Caenorhabditis elegans: one gene and its partners. The protein of the gene in region 2 purifies or fractionates together with the protein of the main gene of each other region. This does not show direct contact. Each region holds a gene or a part of one and is shown on either strand. Other genes may lie near its edges.

Evidence for each region.
Region 1: the proteins of eif-3.D (region 2) and dpy-23 fractionate together in Caenorhabditis elegans (co-fractionation; one large-scale study listed by BioGRID). This does not show direct contact.
Region 3: the proteins of eif-3.D (region 2) and egl-45 fractionate together in Caenorhabditis elegans (co-fractionation; one large-scale study listed by BioGRID). This does not show direct contact.

The regions. Positions count from the first base shown.
Region 1 is NC_003284.9:4,387,380-4,394,980, reverse strand, and holds dpy-23 (AP-2 complex subunit mu), read right to left. Parts: upstream 5,623-7,601; 5' UTR 5,606-5,622; coding exon 5,532-5,605; intron 5,290-5,531; coding exon 5,124-5,289; intron 5,075-5,123; coding exon 4,892-5,074; intron 4,150-4,891; coding exon 4,132-4,149; intron 3,943-4,131; coding exon 3,807-3,942; intron 3,757-3,806; coding exon 3,615-3,756; intron 3,566-3,614; coding exon 3,446-3,565; intron 3,399-3,445; coding exon 3,314-3,398; intron 3,263-3,313; coding exon 3,114-3,262; intron 2,118-3,113; coding exon 2,000-2,117; intron 1,950-1,999; coding exon 1,815-1,949; 3' UTR 1,178-1,814; downstream 1-1,177. UniProt on the Caenorhabditis elegans protein: Component of the adapter complexes which link clathrin to receptors in coated vesicles. Clathrin-associated protein complexes are believed to interact with the cytoplasmic tails of membrane proteins, leading to their selection and concentration.
Region 2 is NC_003281.10:8,968,461-8,973,625, forward strand, and holds eif-3.D (Eukaryotic translation initiation factor 3 subunit D), read right to left. Parts: upstream 3,119-5,165; 5' UTR 3,117-3,118; coding exon 2,935-3,116; intron 2,889-2,934; coding exon 1,929-2,888; intron 1,882-1,928; coding exon 1,453-1,881; intron 1,411-1,452; coding exon 1,269-1,410; 3' UTR 1,175-1,268; downstream 1-1,174. Other genes in the region: Putative RNA polymerase II subunit B1 CTD phosphatase rpap-2, read left to right, coding at 1-106, 150-526, 577-774, 819-968, 1,020-1,167; R08D7.4 (Complex1_LYR_dom domain-containing protein), read left to right, coding at 3,761-4,174, 4,228-4,528, 4,600-4,701, 4,857-4,991, 5,047-5,165.
Region 3 is NC_003281.10:7,823,217-7,830,757, forward strand, and holds egl-45 (Eukaryotic translation initiation factor 3 subunit A), read right to left. Parts: upstream 5,411-7,541; 5' UTR 5,373-5,410; coding exon 5,262-5,372; intron 5,210-5,261; coding exon 5,078-5,209; intron 4,983-5,077; coding exon 4,573-4,982; intron 4,518-4,572; coding exon 4,404-4,517; intron 4,308-4,403; coding exon 2,832-4,307; intron 2,533-2,831; coding exon 1,817-2,532; intron 1,752-1,816; coding exon 1,480-1,751; 3' UTR 1,161-1,479; downstream 1-1,160. Other genes in the region: E3 ubiquitin-protein ligase kcmf-1, read left to right, coding at 6,211-6,241, 6,286-6,477, 6,728-6,879, 6,938-7,035, 7,106-7,242, 7,312-7,541.

The DNA of each region.
Region 1 (7,601 bases), on a different chromosome or scaffold from region 2:
GAAACTTTTTTTCGGAAGTAAAATTTCGAAATCAGAAACTCCCGTTTTTCAACACCGCTTATGATCAACTTCACATTTTTAAACGGTCCGGACCCGAAAGTGACTGGCCCAATTTTCAAAATTTTTCGCTTTTTTGTCTCCCCATGTGGATATCTTCAAGATCTGATAAAAAAGTAGAGTTTCTTCCCGCCAGTCTCAATATTCACCTCAAACTGGGTAACTGAACCGAATAGTCGTGCGCTGACTGCGTTTGCGTGCAAGCATAGTGGTGAACGCTGACCTCGAAACTCGTCGGCTGCACGTTTTGCATATATCCGCGCTCCCACAAGCAGTTTTTGAAGGCGGCTGTTTCTTAGCCAGATCGTTTTACGACTTATGAAGTGGATGGAGCGAACCTTCAGTGATGATTGCACTTCTTGTACCATATACCAGTTTAGATGTATATAGTTATCCAAGTAGATCACTGCTCCCCACTACCAAATTTTGGATGGCTCATCGAGAGATGACCCGAAGGTAACTGTAAAATCTTTAAAAGTGAGTTTTTTAAGATTTCTTTTTAAGAAACATAATACTTTCGAAAATCATGAAGAAACCAATTTGATATTTTTGTTCGGACTACTTTCGTACAGATCTCTATTTGGACCTAAGCCCGTACCTGATTACCATCATCTCTAAATATTTACTAATAATCTTATCACTTATTCAAATATGCAAAATCATATAAAACCATTTTAAAAAAACAAAAAACAATTGACGTAAAACGTGAATCAGTTTTTAAATTAGTTCTTGATAATTTTATTGTTAAAATCGACTGCTGTAGACTCTTGTCTCTCAACTCTTTGCTTCATTTGCTTAATATTATGCAAGTTTTCTAGTTTTTTCGAAAACGTGTCATATGGAAAGTTATCGAGTTGGAAAATTGTGATGCTCTCAAGGTTGCTAAAATAATTTTTAGATGATTAAAAAAAAAGTAAAATTGCCAAGTTATTGCATCAAAAACTTGAATTATTATGATGAATCAAATGTTGACACTGCACTTTTTCATTTGAATCAAATCAGAAACTTGAACCCATGTCGTGATTGAAAACTTAAAACCTGTTTTAAAATGTGTGTAGAAAAAAAACTAAAGTTTTATACCAAGTTTAGAACATGGATTCGGGGGACTCATATCTTGAACTATTAATAAAAAAAACTTTTATTTAAAATAAATATTATGCTATTCATTTGAATTACAAACTTATTGAATTGCGGACCTAGAAATGAGAAATGAACAATAGAAATTTGAAAATTTTTGAGAGAGAGACAAAAAATGGAATGTAGAAAGAACAATATATCAAATTAAGCCGTTACAATAAATTATGATGAATTATGAAGAAAAGGTAAATGAAAAAAATATTTTAAAAATGTTATTGCTCCAACGGGGTTCAGAAGACGTTTTGAAGTGAATTTTATGATGGAAAAAGATTCCAGAAATTTTGAAATTTTACACTGACAATAAATAAAGATGGAACGGGGTGGGGCGGGGGTTTTTGAATTTTGGCACGGAAAATGCATGGAATTATAAGCATGCGAAAATGCTTATCGAGACGTCTAAAGATCTAATAGTTCTTATAAATTGAAAACAACTCTTACAGTACTGTAATGCTGCGATGACTCTACATTATGAAATTTGGAAAATAATACAAAAATATTACAAAAAATTAAAAATTGTATGAAGCAAATAAATAATATTTAACACTTGGAACCGAGAATGAGCAAATGTTCAAGCTTGACGGCTGGGGAGCAAATGAAGATAGAAAGGGTTGGGTGAAGTTCTAGCATCTGGTTTCATACAGTCCCGATCTTCCAATGTAACGAACCCATTTGATGACGTCATGATCCGAATAGTTCAGTTTTGGCTCAAACACCTTCAAGTAGCGAACTTTGAGTCCAGATGGAGCAAACGGAACCTGGAAATTAGAATGGTTCAATTATTGAGGTGGAAAAAATGTAAGTTTACCTCAAAGTTCATGCTGACCGGTGGGCGATTCCATTTCTTCTTCTCAACGTTTCCAGTTGAGAGAAGATCGATTTCCGCAGAAATTTGGCTTTCCTTCATTCCGGCCATACGCTTTATTCTGAAAACAATGGTAACATTATAAGGCCTGTGAGAACTTTTTCATTCAAAATTAGAAAACAAAATGCTCCAAAAGCTTTAGTAAAAGCATTAGATTTCTGAAATGCTTCAGTCAAGGTTTGGAAAATTCACTAATTTCAGAAAGTCTTGAATTTTTAATTGAAAAAATACGTGCAGCACAGTTTTGCATATTTTGATGGTTTTTGATAAAAGGTAAGACAACCAAAATATAATCGCAGTCTTTAAACAATTTCAACTGCAAAAATATACATTTGCTTAGCAGTCAGATGAAAAATTTATTTTTGAACATTCGTGCCAATTTGCGACAGATTGTGAACAAAACATATATATGATATTACATCAATTTGTTTAAGGAAGCTGTTGGTCCCTTTTTGGTACACTTTTTGATTGTGAGCTCATATTTGAACTCTTGGTTAACTATTGTGTGAAAGAAATTCAGGGGATCAAGCCGCCCACAAATCTTGATCTCGTGAAAAGAAGTGCAGAAAAGACTTGAGAATCATTGTAACTCGAAAATTCAAACTTTGTCTCCTGTATACAATTCCACCAATTTTTGAAAATGGCGCTTGAAGTTAATAATTTCTGTTTCACTGTTACGGACGAGTTAAATGTTTTCCTTTAGTTACAGGTGCAAATTTGTTATTTCAAGCCCACAAAAAATTTCCAGAAAATTCCTTTTTAGTAAATATCCCAACCATATCCCTTTTCGGCAATAATATGTACAACTACATAGTATTAGTTAATGTTCTACTGCCAATTTCTCTGATTGCAGTTTCTTTCTTTTTTAGTTGTACAGCTCAAAGTGTGTAATGCTTCTGCCCAATTTTCTTAGCGCCCCCTCCCCTCCCACTTTTCTCGTTTTCTTATTCTTGCCCAAAATGGAGCCCCCCCCCCCCTTCTCCTTTTTCTCTCTGCCGCTTCGTTTTAATCCTATGCTCAGTCAGTGTATGAGCACCGGGCACACGCCCCCACTCACTTCCACACAATGGCATTCTCGCCTGCCTTGTACTTGGCTTTTCCCTTCATGCAAATAAGTTGAACGCCGGATGTATTTGGTGGGGTTGGAATGCGAACTTCGAGCTTTTGAGCAAGAAGGGATGGCTTGAAGTTAGACTTGACGACAACCTGAAAATGAGAGCCATGATTGGTAAATATTTGAAGTGACAAGTGAAATACCTTAACTTCCATCTTGTTACGAGACACTTCACGAACCAATGGGATCACACGGAATGGCAGTTGGATATCCTTAGTGGTACGGTATCTGCAAAAAGTAATAACACTACGAAAATTGTACAACAAAAAGTGTACCTCATCAGCTCGTACTCGCCGTCCGGTGGGATAAAAGAAATCGCGTGCTCCGTCTCAAATTTCGTCAGCTTCACGCATTGGTGGAATTGACAGTCATCAATGGCCACTGCGGCACGGCTTCTGCAAACAATAAAGTATCAGTTTCCCTATCCCGGAAACTCAGACTAACGCTTTGTTTGGATCATCACTTCCTGGCTTCGACTTTCCTTCGATGGTAATTTTGTCGTTGATGCCAAATTTGCACTCCGGCATTCCACTCAAATAGGATTTCATCGCAACTTTTCCGGCAACATGAGCAGATAATACTTGTCCTTAAAAATTATATTCGATATAAAAGTATGCACGTCGTTATTGTGTGTACCTTGTTGATTCATGAGCAAGTTGACATATTCAATAACATCCAGGAAGAGCTCATTTCGGCGGTACTTAATACCCTCCCGACGCCATCCAATTTGGCCAGTCACTTGAGACGTGATTTGTGACTGCTCCTCTTTGGTCTGCAAAACGTCTATTATTCTATGTATTCTCCTGAGACAAAATATGAATGGTTATCTAGATTTTTGCTACAATCTGAAAAGATAGCAAATCTTTTTGATTTTCTGACAATAAAATAAGAGACACAAGTAAAAAATGATTCCGTGCACACAAAACACAGTTGGTCACAATATATACATATGAAAACTTACCACTGGGACAGGAGCATCCTATAAAAAAAGGGTTCGTGAATAAAGAGCGGAAACCTAATACTTTAATTTTAGAAAAATTTTGAACCTGAAAGCGTGAGCCAGCGTGTACAGGTGGGCAGAATAACGCGTGACGCTTTTTTCATATTTGGTGCATTTTGTTTTTGGGCAACTTTTTATTTTGAAGGAGGAGTATCGGTTCTGAGTTTTTTTTAAATTTAAAATGTAAACAAATAACAAAATTTTGTAATGGGGCTTCTCGAACATTTTTCAAACATTCTTTGTCATTTCAAAATAGCGAAAAATTAATGGTCTGATTTTAGCTAATATATTTAACTTTCCCAAATTTTACGTGTCATAGCAGATGAAAAATGGTTTCTATTGAAAAATAGCTTTTAAATATCTTTTTTATTGTTTTTTTTATCTCACATTATTTCGTTGATCAAGGAACGTTTAAAACAAAAATTAGCAAAATAGAATTCCTATCTTGTAAATGAATGAACATGAGATAAACTACTAAAACATGCATGATGTGAAAATGAAACTATTTCCAGTCCGCGACACCGAAAACTTGACAAAATATCGGCTTTTAGCTAAATTTAAGCAAATTTTTCAAAATTTTGACCCGCCATAAAAAATTACAAGAAATGTTTTGAGAAGTCTCACTATGAAATTTGTTTATTTCAGCACATTTTAAGTCTGTAAAAGTGAAAACCCAACATTGATACTCCTCCTTGAACACTGAAAATTGTAAATTCCTTACAGCTGTTCTGACTCCTTGCTGGGTGATGAAAGTTTTCAGCACACCAGGGTCCGTATTCTGGGGGTATCCAAAGTCGAGAATCTCGTCGAGCAACTCATAAATCAACACAAAGTTGTTCTTCACATTCTCCTCGTTCAGTTTTCCAAAGTAAGACTGCATGGTGTCGGCGAAGCGTTTCAAGAACTGAAATTCGTAATTTAAGTGTGTCCCTAATACTTTTCCCCGTCGCTACCTCAAAAACCATGGCAGCGTTGACATTTTGACGTGTCACCGCACAAATCCAGACGTTGCCACGCTTCACATGGAAGAACGAAGTACGAGCCATGTTGGTGACTGGCGAGCGAACTTGCTGTCGGGCATGGATGACGTTGACTCGGAAGGCGTCGACTGCGTTCCGGCTGAAACTAGTGAAACGTGAAAATATGATTTCTTCTTGTTTGGGTCTTGTGTACACCATCGCATTTTTCTCATTTCTTTCAATAAACATTTTTACATAGAAAAGTTTGTGAACAAACAGTCTCGGCAAAAACAGCGCGGCAAACATTTTTTCATTTCTTTATTTCCCTGTTTCAGCGCACCACTTTTTCTTTTAAACATTTTTGAACATTTCCAAACATGCCATATATAAAAAATTACTTACGTTACATCGTCTCGATAGATTCTCGAAATGAGCACTTCTCCTTTGTGATTGTAAACGAACAATCCACCAATCATCCCCGAGTTTGCTGAAATGTATTTTAATGAGATAATCACTCTTTTCAACAGAAAAAATGTTAGAAAATGTGAAAAATGCAATGAAAACCAAAGAAAAAAACAAGACAAAAAACCAATCGGTTTCCTTTAGTTGACCAAGTTCAGCAAAATCGACGGACCAAAACTGGTCCGATAGAGCGCCCTTCAAAAGAGTCGCGCGGTGCGGTCGCGTCGCAGTCCTCCTCATCCTTCATTCGCCGGGGGTTGTTTCGTCATATGTTTGTGGATAGACGAAGAGAGTGCAGAGAGAGCAGAGAGTGAGAAGAGACGACATAGACGGGCAGACGGCGGGTACCTCTTGCCTCGTCTCTCTGACGCGACACCGCTTCCCGCTTGTATTTCTTTGGGTGTCTCTGTCTCGTTCTCTCTTTCTCTACTCCTCTCTCGCACATTATATCTCATGCTTTTTTGAAATTGTTTGATTGTTGCATAGCTTTTGAATTAATTTTTCTGATTTCCCTTCTTCCGAAATTTAAAATATCGATTTGTCACCGTTATAGCTATAACCTCGCAAAATTGAACGTGCTAAATTTATAATTATGAAATCAATAGAAACTTATCAAACTGCTTCCACTTAAAATGTTGTTGACCCACTTTTTTCGCATCTATTTTCAAAAATGTGAATAATGAAATTTCTTCAAAAATAATGAAATTTTTGATATGTTAGAGATAGATAAAAAGGCAAATATTGAAAAACACGCAATGACCCAAATAGCCGAAACAACAAAAAAGAAGATTTGATAAATCATCATTTGAAGATATCTTTGATCTTTTTTCAATCGTGGCCTAAGATATTCTCGACCCCCGTAGTCATGCCTATACAGGTTATTAGTCACACTCCTTTCGTCGTCGTTCACTACCTTTTCCGTTCTCCTCCATTTCCAGCCCTCTTGCCACACACACACACACACACTTCGCCTACATTTTTTGTTCATTTTCATTTTCACGTGAGATACTTCAAATACTTCTAGTTTGATTCTGTAGAGTACTGAGTGTAAGTCTGAAGACGTACATATAAGTTTGTAAGTGTATTACTTTTTTACTCGAAATTGGTTTATTTAATGAATAGCATTTTTTATGTAAATTTTTTGGTGTTTGTCACTGTTTTTTTTTTGTGGAAAAACTACGAAAAACACTGCTGCTGATTATAAAACTGAATCTTTCAAATAACTCAAGTTATAACATTTGAAAGTGAAGAAAATACGACATTCAATTTGTAAAATTTTATATAAAAAGTTACTGATATATACGTAGAAACAACGCAGAACAAAATCTATGAGATAAATAGAGCGAACGATTATCGTATTATATGTACAGCCCAAAAACCATAGATTCCTCCCTGAATGAGAAAAAAGCCGACTTGCGTCAATTTCGCATTTGACATGAAACAAACTGATATTAATATATATATATATGCATCCTTTGTCAAGTATAAACCCTCTTTCTCCGTCATTCTCTCAATTCGTCAGTCTTTTCGGTCTTTCTCTCTCTCTTTCTTTCTACCAGTGAGAACCGGCTTTTGCATAATCGAGTTGACAGCCCAAATGACTAAAATGGCTAAATGGGCGCCAGATTTTTAGTTAGTTAGTCGTTTCGACTGACTGTACTTGGAGGCCCCGGCCATTAATGGCCTTCCGCCTATTTCCCCAATTTTTTGGTTACTCATTCTCATGACTATCACGTTCGTTTGCCCCTGATTTGTGACTTGTTGATACATTTTCTGAATGATCACTGAATCTTTAACCTGGTTCTTCTTTCTGTGTAATTTCAGCATACAAAACGTCGCTGTAAAAGTTTTGAAACAAGTTTGTTAAATTAGAGGCTTGAAATTTCAAAGTGTGTCGTAACCAATACCATTTCTCATTTTTTTGTTGCTTGTAAATTTGTAATTCACAACAAAATAAATCAATAATTTGATTTTTTTGTTAGTATTTTTATGCTCTGGGTTTTTTTTTTG
Region 2 (5,165 bases):
ATACGAAGTTCCTGATGAATCATTTGTAAGCCCGATTGCTGAAAAAAGTGAACCCGTGGATTCGCAATTCAAAAAAGAACCTTCTATTTGGCTGGTGACCGATTCGGTAAGTGAAGAGAAATGCTCACTAATATATTTAAGTGTTTCAGATCATTGCGAAAGTTCAAGACATGAAACTAAGCGAAGAAGCCGAAGAACCAAAATCTCTAGATCCAGAAGATCAAGATATCGAACCATTTAAATTAACTGATGATGACAAAGATTTTATCAAATCTATCAAGGAATTTAGAAATTCGAATTTTGGTCCTCCATCGACTTCGAAACTTTTGAAAACAGCCCCGAAACCTGTACTATCAGCAAAAGATCGTAAAAAAGAAGACGAAGTTCTCGCAAAGCTGCGTGCAAAGTATGGAAATAAAAATGCTCTGCAAAAGAAGCCACCAATTCTGATTGAGGCTCAAGAGATCCATTCAAAATTGAAAACTATGGAAAAAGCAAAAGAAGCGTGGCTCGTTGATTTAATTAAGTTAGAAAACTCTCAAAATATAAATTTTACAAATAATTATCTCATTTAAGATCCTGGTTCACACCTGAAACTCGTAAATTGGTTCGAGAAGGTGCCAGACCAACCGGTGGAGCTGCTGAGCAAATTTTGATGGATTTTTTGTCCGGTAAAAAGGTGGACGCGGAGAAATTGGTCAATTTGCCGAATCTTGATAAGTACAATGTGAAAGAGAAGAGATTGAATATTTTCCTGCATTCTATTAGGAATCAGTGAGTTTATCTAGCAATTTTAAATATTAATTTTGAAATTACAGCTGGATGGATTTGGAAGCACGTTTACATTTAACTCCAACTCGTCGTGATATTCTCAGTCGAGTAGCTTCGACATTCCAACTCGATTCGGAAAATATCACTGGCTGGACAAAGAGAGAAATTAATTCTATCGTTATTGCTCTTTTCATTGTGTAAGTTCTAAAAAATGCATAATTAAAAAATTTCAAAATGTTGAAATTTAGGATTTGCCTCGTCGATGTTGAGCTTGGAGACGACTACTTCAAGAAGGACAACGCTTCTCCAGAACTTACTGCGATTTCCAATGAACTATGCGGGCTTGATTCTTTCCAAATTACCGGTTTGCACGCTGCGATTAAATCCCAATGTTGAATGATATTTTGAATAAAGTTTATCTTATCAGAACCAAGTTTAATTAACAAGAGACAATAATTAGAAAAGCGAATACAAGAAATTGTCAGAAACCGGGGACTTTATTGATCGTCATCCGAGTTCTCCTCGTCGGAGCTCTCGCGCTCGCTTTCGAAAGTTCCTTCTGGAAGCGAATAAAGGCGGATAACCGGAGATTGTGGATCCTTCATCAACAAGTACTTTCCTGGTTTTTGCTTCATACAACTGGAAAAAATTGATTACCAGTCTGGATGTGCTCGTTCTTACCTGTCAATGACGCATCTAAGAATTCCCCAGCAGTTATCCATGTTCAAGGCGATGTTGCTAGCAAACTCCGTTGGCTTTACGTATTGGGTGAGTAGAATAGAATGATTTTGTGTGCTGCGTGCATTGTTACGAGACACATATCCGAGCTTCATTGTGTCGGAACCGGCAAGAAGTGCTTGCAGAGTCCACTTTGCAACCTTAGCTGAGTTGTTCTTGATTTCGGTGGCCATTACGGCTCCCTTTTGAACATCAAGCTTTGTTCTCCAGTCGACACCTCCAGATTGTGTGCTATCCCATTCGTTGAATGCCTTGATTGTAAGAGTCTGAGTCTCATTTCCGAGTCCGTGAATAACTCCATCCAATTCTGTACGGCAAACCAACTCAACTGGTTTTCCATCAACTCCGTTTCCAAGATTCCACTTACGGTATCTAAAAATTGTTTAATTAAAGATCAAAATTTTAAACGAAAATCCTACTTGTAAGCAGTTCCTGACTCTCCAGTCTCCTCGTCTTCGAATGGAGCACGAGCATTCTTGAAGGTGAATCCTGCGTCGTTTCTCTTGACGACTTGACGACGGAAGTTTTGGTTAATGTAGAATGCCTCGGTCGCAAGATCCTTGGCATTGTTGATACCATTTCCGTCGAATGATGGTGGTTCGGCACTAGTCTCGGAAACAGTAAGGGTCTCAACTGGATTCAAAATATCTCTAGTGTTTCTCTTATCGAAGAAAAGTTTGTCTCCGACTCTGTAGGCAACAATGTCCCACGAGTAGACCGAACGAGGAGCAGTCATCAAAGTAGCAAGAATTATGTCTGTTCCGAAAACATTTCCAGCACCACCTTGAGCAAGTTCTTGAATTACAGGATCTTCCGTTGTGGTGACATTGTAGAACACGCCAGCGCATCTTTGAAGCGGAATAGAATTTTTCACAGAAACGCGATCAATAGTCTTGTCATAGTATTGAAGACTTCCATACTGGTGATCCCCAATGTCGTCTCCTCCTGGGATGTTAGGAAGAGCAAGTTTGGAAAACGCACTAAGATTCATTTCTTCAAGAACAACCCATTCCGGTCTAACTTGAACAGATGGAAGACGTTCCTTCGGCCGATCACCTCCGAATCGACCACCTTGTCCGCGTTGTCCTTGACGAGCATTTCCTCCACGACGTTGCCACATCTTGAAGGCACGTTGTTGCTCCTTGGCGATACTTCTCTTCATTCTCAAATTCGTTGACTGGTTCACCATCTCACGCTTCTCATTTTCTTTCTGCATCATCTTACGAAGATGCATTTGGCGGACACGGAAGTTGCGCTGTGGATTGCGAGCCATTGGTTTAGAAGTGTCAACAAGTTGGAAGTTATGCTCATCCATTCCATGAATGTAATCGAACTGACTTCCAGCGTTGGCGGCGGATCCATAGACACGCTCATTGTATCTAAATTTCAAGTTTTAACGATACCACTCATTTGTTGTATAAAAACCTCTCATTTCCTCTTCTATAGAATCTATCAACACCAATCCAGTCGGCAACACGTCCGATGCGATCAGCCTTGTTGAATTGTTGGAATGGAACAGGCTCATCAGCAGAGGAACTCGACGCCAATGGACCCCATCCGACTGTATTATCAGCCAATGACAACAGTTCAAACTTTGGTAGAGCCATACCTGAAATAAATATAAAATAGTGTTGAAATGCAATTTTAGGCCAAACGATAGCAACGACAAAAGAAATGGAAATGGAACAATAACATTCGAGAGCATTTAAAATATAGTTACAAGACTTTCATGAATTTATATAATTCACAAAACAGAAAAATTAATCAGAAAATCGTATAAAAATGTGAAAAATCCGACAAGAACGCGTGTAAAAATAAAAATGTTTAATCGAGAAATGCGCAAGGTACACGAAACGCGCCAACATTCGCCACTTGACGCCACCTCAATTTTTGGTTTTTATTTGTTTTCTCCAAATTTCCTCGCATAATCAGAATATAATTCCAGAAACGGGTCCACCTTGATGAATACAGTGCCACAAAGTATTCGAGTCATTCAGCTCTATCGACAGATTTTAAAATTGGGCAAGAATTGGAAAGCAAAAGAAGAAACAAATACTGTAGTTGAGAGACAACAAATTATCACTGAAGCTCGTCAGGCTTTCCGAGAGCACCAGCAGGTATTCTCGTTCTCAATATTGATGTGGAAACTAATTATATGGGATTTTTCAGGAAAAAGACCCAATAGTGATTGGCAAACTAATCTATCAAGCGGAGCAGCGAATCGTTCAAGCAGAACACTACGGAATTCCACATGCAAGACCCGAATACCTTCCTCCTGATACCGCTTATTCAGTCAGAACGAAAACGCAAAATTTTCACAAAATGTCAAGAAAACGGAGAACTGAGCGGGATGGTCCACTCAGAAAAGGAGACAACTGAACTCCAGTTCAAAAGATTTTATTGTAGCGCTTCAAAAATTCCGGATCAGCTAATGAAGGATATTGTAGAACAATGCATAAAAGATTCGGAATATGCTGAGAATCTTTGCAACAATGTCTTCAATAATGAAATTGTCACATCGCATGAAATTCGTTACAAATTTCAAATAAATGTTCTTAAAAACTTGATTTCTGAACTTCAAGCCAATAATGTTGTTGTTCCTGATTCAATGTTCGACAGGCTTGGTTCTCTAATGGGAATGAAAGAAGGAGAATATGTGGAAAGAGTAAGTTTTTAAACAATTCGTCAGCTCAAATGGAAATAATTTCATATTTTCAGGTTTACCTAACCGATGGAGGCGACAAAGTTCTAGCGAAATTCTCGGAAGCTGTAAATCAACTATCAATGGGTACAACTGGCTTATCAGTTTGGCAAGCTTCTTGTGATCTCGCCAATCTTTTTCGCTTGATTCCCTCCGAGTACAATCGAATATTAGAACTCGGGTCAGGATGTGGTGTTAGTGGAATTGCAATTGCAAAAATGAATGATTGTTGTGTGACGCTCACTGATTATGATGATAATGTGCTGAATCTTTTAGAAGAGAATATTGCGAAAAACGATCTGAAGAGTGATACTGAAGGTATTTTTTGAGAAATAAAATCGACTCCTTCCGTATTTCAAATTTAAAAATATTTAGAATCTAAATTGTAGATTCGTCAGCCAACAACAATCAAGCAACAGTTCGCTCACTCAATTGGTGTGATTTTGATTTCTCTGAATGGAAGGAACCCACGGATTTGATTATCGCGGCCGGTAGGTTTTGCTAATACTTTTATTTGTTAAATTCTTTGTTTTTCTATATGATATTCGTGTGAAACGAAACCCTTCAAATAACAGCTTCAGGCACTCATTATCCAAGTCTTCTCATTTCTCTGTGTCTCTCTTCTCTTTCACGTCTCCTTTTTCAGATGTTGTCTACGACACTGCATTGCTCGCCTCTCTCTGCAATGTGCTCAATCTTCTGCTCCGCCACTCAAAAGCTGCTATCGTTGCGTGCACTCGTCGTAACGAGTCGAGTATTGAGTGTTTCGAGCATCATTTGAGTTAGTTATTTTTCTTTCGTACACAATATTTTTCTATTCACTATATTTTTTACAGAAATGGCAAAACTAGAAATTGTGGAAAAATTCGAATACGAAAACGGTGCCTACACAATTGGAGAAAATTCGTATCATTATGCATCTATTTTCCCATTTTTCTCAACTCTCAAAACACCT
Region 3 (7,541 bases), 1.1 Mb from region 2:
TCATTTCGTTTGAGACCAACACGACCTGACAAGCCTATAATCAAGAAATTTCTTTTTTCCGGAAAAATGAAAATATGAGTTATATTTTACGTAGTAGGGGATTTCTTTGAAAATGGAGTATAGTCAATTGGAAAATTATTTTAAAAGCTGAAATTTTAAAGGAACAACGAAAAACTCGAGAGAGATCTAAAAACCTTGCTAAACTCCGTGTTCGAATTATTTCTACAATAAGAACTGGAAGACCAATTAGCGAATCGCTCCGCCCACTTTTGAACCAATCAGATTGAGTGGGCAAAGCTCGAAGTCACTGATTGGTCTTGCAGTTATCAGTTTGGAGGTAATTAAAACAGATAAAAATATATTCGGTTTTTTTGTGAATTTTTGTGAATTGTTCACTTTTTGTGGTATAGCTATATTTAAATTTCATGGAATTAGGGTACTTTGAAGAAAAATCCCCTTTGAACTGTACACCATTTTTTAAAATTCGTAAATCTCACAGATTGCTAAGAATGGTACTGTAATTTCAAACTTAAGTTGCTGTGGAATTTTCATTTATTTTTCATATTTCTTTTTAACTTAACATTAATAACACATACATTTTAACGAAGCGTGAAAAGAAACTATCAAAAATCAATGAATATTCCACAGCAGCGAAACTTTCAATCTACAGTAATCTTTAAAGGCGCACACATGTTTGTATTTAACAAAAATTGTCGTGTCGAGACCGGGGACTGTATTTTTGGGAAAAAATCACAAAATTTTGCGTGCGGGTAATAAAAACTTATAATATATCAAAATTGTGTTATATATATATGTTCAAACCATTGGTACGGTTTTACTTAGAAAGAAGGTAAAAGCAGGAAGCACATCCAGGAGAGGTGAATCATGAATACAACTGGTGCCTTCAGAAGTGTATGGGGCCACTGCTTGCTTGCCCCATACCATCTATCCTATTTTATTGTATTACCCCCCGTCTCCTCTCTGTCCACTCATGACGTCTCCGTCTCTACAATCAGCGTGCTCTCAGTGTCTCATTACGTCGTCTAAAGCACCCTCATACAGGTGCCCCAATGTGGCTCGTTTCGATGCGCCTCGGGCACTTTCTAAGTTGCTCTCGGACAAACGACGACACGCCCACTCGTTTAAGTCGTTCAAGTCGTCAGCTACATATGTCTTTATTCATATCATTACTCATAAATACTCAAACAATTGGGGTTTACGGAAAGATGGATGTGAAGAGAATATAGGAATTCTCAATGAGGGTCAACAGGGGATTCGGGGAAATTTAAATAACAACACCAAGAAAGTTAACGAAACAATTGATTATAGATGCGTGTGATTTTATAATTAGAGAGAAAGTGGGGGAAGGATAACCAAAACAGGAAAAAAGACAGAAAAATCAACCAGGATACTAATTTTAAGGACATTCGAGTAATTTCTGAAAATTGGATATGGAATCAGCACAAATTGAGCATGTGTTTATTTTCTCCAACTTCCACTATCGGCATTTCCCGTGTTTCCAGTGTTGTTAGACCGTGGTGGTGGTCCGTCACGACGAGGCAACGAGTTGCGGCCAGTTGGTGGTGGGCCTCGGAGTCCTTGAGCCCGGTCTGGTGGGCTTGTCACATTGGAATTTCCAGATCTAGCAGGAGCGGATTGTTCCTCGGAACCACCTGCTCCACCACCTCCTTGTCTGTTTCGAAGATGGGGTGGCACGAACCTCTTGGGTCCTTCCGATTTCGGTTCAGAAACTGAAAAATGATTATTTTTTTAGGTTTGTAGCGACAAATGTTTGAACAATAAAAACTAATCTTACCTGATGGGGCATCGGTCTTTGGTGGAGAAACGACTGGCTTCACTCCTCGTTCCCACTTATCCCCAGTATCAGCCTTCGATGCTGGACGGGGTGGATCATTGCGGCGAACATCGTCGTTGCGACGGACATCATCGTTGCGCCGGAACTCGTCGCTGCGGCGATCGTCAGGTTTACGAGTTGGTTGAGCAGAACTTCTCCAAGAGTTGTCAGTATCAGCTTTAGAAGATGGCACCTCACGGAATGGCTCTCTAGGTTCACGATCACGATCTCCACGGAATTCTCGAGGTTCACGTGTTGGTCCATCACGCATTGGTCTCGTTTCTCTTGGAGGCAAACTCTCACGTGGTGGGTTACGTCTCCAATCATTGTCTTGCATAGCAACCGAATTCTCCATTTCTCTACGACCACGACCATCATTGTGTTGACGACGTTGTCCTTCGATAACTTGGAGACGGGCACGCTCCTCTTCTTCGCGTTTCTTACGTTCTTCGGCAATCTTCGCCTGAATAGCATCTTCCTTTCGCTTCTTCTTACGATCCTCAGCACGTTCGGCAAGACGATTATTACGAACTGCCTCGAGCTTCGCTTGCCAATCAGACAACTTCTTCTCAAGAGTTTCCTGGTTGTCGATTTTCACCGACTCGACCCAATCAAAAGTAGCGTCTCGCACTTGATCCCACATTCCCCATAGTTTGACGTGTGAGTCATGAGCAGCACTGGAATATTATTTTTTATTACAATGAGAGATCAAAAAAAAGAAAGAAATCACTAATGTTAAAAATAGAAAAATTCTAATTTTCCAAATGAAACAACAAAATTATTAATATATGATCTAAATCGTGTTTATCGCAAAACTTTTGTGCATTTCATAATGCTAAGAACGACGAAAATCCTTCTCAAACTCAAACTTGCAGGAAAAGCAAAACTTAAGAGAAAATTTAAATAGACGCTTTCGGTTTTCTAAAATTTTAGTAGAATTTCAAAAAATTAACATTAATTGAAAAAAAAAACTTACATTTCCTTGGCTATTCTAGCCTCTTCGTATAAATCGTGAAGTTTTGGAGCTTCAGAGAGTCGCATATTCATCACTGCACGACGCTCGTTCAACTCTTCCAAGTGAAGAGCGCGAACATGATGGTCAAAGTTCTTCTCTTGTTGTTGCAACCGACGTTGAGTTTCGGCACGCTCCTTATCCAATCGTTCTCTCTGCTCACGCAGCACTTGCTCGGGATCCATGTCTCTGAATTGCTCGAGACCCTTTTCTTTGATAATTTCTTGGTAGATGGCGTTCTGCTGCATTTTGTAGAGCTGATCTTGCTTAATCTTCTTCTGAATCTCATCCTGTTCTGCTTGCTTTCTTTTCCGTTCGCTCTCCTTGTTCTGCTCATCCAATCTCTTCATCTCCTCAGCACGAGCTGCTTCCTCACGTTTAGCTTGTTCAGTTGCAGCCGCAGCAGTCTTTTCAGCCTTAACACGCTCCCAGTTCTCTTTGTAGTTCTCCAACATCTTCTTGCGACGGTGGATACGCTCGATTTCAGTTGGTCGGTTCTTTTCATAACTAGTGACCTGTCCTTCAATCTTTTTGAGAATCTCTTTGCGTCGTTTTTCGGCATCGAGTCCTTCAACGAGACCACGAAGACGTGTATACATTGCTTCAAGATGATTACGAACACCTTCCACTCCCAATTGAGTATCATCTCCAGTGAATCCTTCGTTGTTATCGCATTCATCGACTCCTCCGGCCAATGTCGCATCGGATGATCCAAAGCGAACACAATCAGCACGATGATCCAATTGAGCTTTCACAATTCTATGTTTGCTTGCTTCAACGACGAGACGCTCCAATGCCAAGTCAGAGTAAAATGGAATAATCTTTCGAATTCGTTCCCAGCTGATAGCTTCGTAGATGACAGATACTTGCTTCAAAGCCTTCACAGCAGCAACTGCTTGAAGAGACTCAACATATTGCAGATGGTCAGGGCGAGTGACAGTATCAAGAACAGATTGAACATCCTTAGCTACTTTTAATGGTGAGAAATTACTCTCAAGAAGCTTGTACAGATCCTTGGCGGTTTGTCCAGCAGCTTCTGGTACTCCAATCCGTGCGGCTTCCTTGAGAATTCCGTTTTTAGTTGGAGCAATTGGAAGACGAAGCAAATTTGAGAGAAGTCTCATGTTGGCTACATGTTGATCCTCAATATCAAGGTTGCGAGACAAATCAGATGGCGAATCTGATCCTTCTGGGATGGAAAGAGTAGCGAGAAGCACTCTAGTAGCCTGTTCTTGTGCTTCATCCTGTGTGAAAGACTTCTTCATATCTTTGTAAATGATGAACTTTTGAAGAAGGGCGGCGGCGTGGAACAAACTGTTTCCTGCTTTCCAGAACACCAATGCAAGTTTGTCATAATAATTGACATAGCTTGCAGGTTTTACCGTTCTCTTGTCTTTGTCTTTTGAAAGCTGCATCATTCCGTGAACGTCTTCTGCGCTTCTGAAAAAATAACATATAAAATTTGATTAAACAATCAATTCACTGGAAAAATAATCCCTCGCACATGAACTTTAAAAAAAAACAAGAAAAACATACTTGTAAGCTTCTTGCCAGAGCTCCATCTGAATCGCAGTATCCAATTGAATCAATCTGGTGTCTTGCATAAGACCTAGAGATTCTGGAGAAGTGAGTTTCACACGGAAAGAGTTTCTGAAAGAACAGAAAATATTTTAATTAGCGTTTACTGAATAGTGTCATCACTTACACATTTGGAGCATATTGGTGTTTTTGTATCTGATTCAGATGCATACGGAGGAGATCGCACAGCTTTCGGAACTCTGTTCTACGTTGATATCTGAGACAGAAAGTGAAAGAGTGGCGAGATATGGTGTGGTAGAGTTGTTCAACTTGGGCGTTGTTTCTCAACAATTCCAGACAATTTCTGTAAGAATCCCAGAGAAAACGGAGCCATGGTGCAAGAACAGTACGATCCATTCGATCTTGAGCAGCTGCTCCAGAAACAACAGCAAGAAGAAGGCGTTCAGGAACATCTCCTTGATCAAGATCTCCAATTTCTTCGACTTTTTCGATCGATTGTTTTTGAGCATCTTCAGTACGCTGCTCTGCGAGTTTCAAAAAATGCACCACAACTGTTTCGAGAGATTTCACATTGATCTGAAAATTAATTAATTAGCATGAATAATTTGCATTACTGTCAGTCAGAATAATAATTTTCTACTCGCAAAAGCAATCGTTAAAAAAAAGATAACCTGTTGAGTTAGAGCCTTGTATTGAAACAAAGCATCTTTTGCCAAGTGTTGTTTCTTCAGATCTACACACAATTCCATGTGCTTAATCATGATTTGTTCGTGAACAGTTGTCCATTGCTTGTGTCGTCTGGCCTACAACAATTGAAAATTCAAAGTTTCAAATTAGGAGCATTCTAAAGCCTACCTTGATAGTATCATGAAGCGTGTCAAGGGCATCGGACTCTTTTCCAACTTGAATGAGTTCTTCGGCGCGTTTCAATGCCGCTTCGGGCTTTTGAAAATAATTCGGAGCCATAGTTGTGCTCGGATTACCGCTGAATTGAGACACGAAGCCTGAAAATTGCGAAATGAAAAGAAGTTTACATTAAGAATCAATATTTTTTTTATAGAGCGTAATTCCAAATTCGAAATGTATTTTTAAAAAAAGATCACAAAAACGGTTCCGAATTTCAATTGGATCGATGTTAATTTGTACATTCACATTTTAATTGATCACTTTTTAACAGTTCGCCAGCAATTTAGCTATTACACTAAATTAAAAACTTCTTTAATATGTATTTACTGTAGAAGCTATGAAAATAGTTCAACTTTGCACATAGTACTTCAATAATCTAGACTTTTTGACTCGTTTTCAATAGAATAACATGTTTTCTTACGAGAAATCGATAAATTTCATCATTTTTGAGAAAAATTTGCACTATCATGAATAGAAAATTGTTTTCTATCATAATTTCACAACAGAAACATCAAAAAATTGCGGAAAACACTAAAAATTCGCAAAAGATGGCTGAGAATCCGACCGATCGGTTGGAAAATGAACGAAAAAAGGCTTTCGCGGCGAGACCTGCACGCGGAGAAAACTCTACGCGCCTTTAAAGCGCGAGTGTTATTTTCATCAGATATCCACAATGTTTACCCTTTCTTGCTAATTTTTTAAAGTTTTTCTTCAAATCAATGTTTAAAATCAATTGAGTTTTCCCAGTTCCACCTAAAATTAAAATTATAATATTTTATTCCACAATCACACTGAGAAAATCCACTTAATATAATCGATTTTTCCTGGCTGGTTTATTTTTTGCTGTTTTACAATACATTTAAACAATTGAATCGTTTTCAGCTTTCATAGTCGATTGATGGTGACTCCTCTTACTGGCACACACGAGGGTAATTGAATCTGAAAAGAATTACTAATATCTCCCTTCATTCAGGTGTATCGTGTGATGGGTGTGCTTTCACCGCGTTTGCTGGAAACCGTTACAAATGCCTACGATGCAGTGATTACGATCTCTGCTTCAGTTGTTTTACCACAAAGAACTACGGAGACCAGCAAACAATAGCTGATATCCCAATACACGACGAGTCCCATCCAATGCAGTTAATTTTGAGCTCTGTGGACTTTGGTAGGATTATAAATATTTACACATAACATTTGGTTTTATAAAAAATTCAAAGCTTTAATTTAATTTTATCGAAAAAAATTAACATTTTGAGTTTTTTTTGTAATAAATAAAATGACAAGTTTCATAGTTTTAACATAATTAAAACATCTATTATAAAAACATGGTGAGAGTGAGGATTTCAGAAAAATTAAAAATATATAATTTTCGTCCCCTAAAAAATTATGTTATCAAATATTAGTATTCTTTACAGACCTCGTATACCAAGGCGACCCTACGCGACATTATGACGAACGGAAAATTGTTTCCTTCACTTGTCCGTATTGTAATATAACAGGATTGACCGAACGGCAATTTGGGACACATGTACTTTCACAACATCCGGAGGCTCCGGGCTACAGTGTGGTAAGAGAAAATGCTAAACATAATATCCTTTAAATAACATTAATTTGTTAACGTCCAGATATGCCCGCTTTGTATTGGAAACACAGAGATGGAGCACATTCAATCGAAAGAAACTGAAAATTTGAGCGTACATTGGACAGAGATTCATCTTCATACGTAAGGCATACAAAAAACTCACATTTCCCAATATTTCTAAATATTTTTGAAAAATCACAAATTGTTACAGAATGGAAAACCTATTTCGTTCAACTGAACCAATAACTACTCGCCCAGTTCAGCGACGTCCAATGTTAGCAAGAAGAGGAAATCGAGCAGGAGTGTCACGAACAGCAGCACAAGGAAGGCCTTTACAGGACGAAATAGGTGCTGAAATGGCTGCTTTACTACGAAACATGGGTCCTGATTCTGTCGAAGATATCAGGCGATTTACAGAGATGATGACCGTACCGTTATTGCCTGGAATTCGAAGTTCGCAACGATTAATGACAAGTACTGGTGACCGACCGACTGTTGTTGTAGAAAGTGCCGTGACACATCAAGATCCGAATGTTCAGCAAGTCATAAGGCCATTGGCAACTATTCCGATTTATCCTCCGACTTCTGACGAATCAGGAGACGAGACTCCTCAGCCAGCAGCAGATTCTGCAGATGAATCAGAAGAT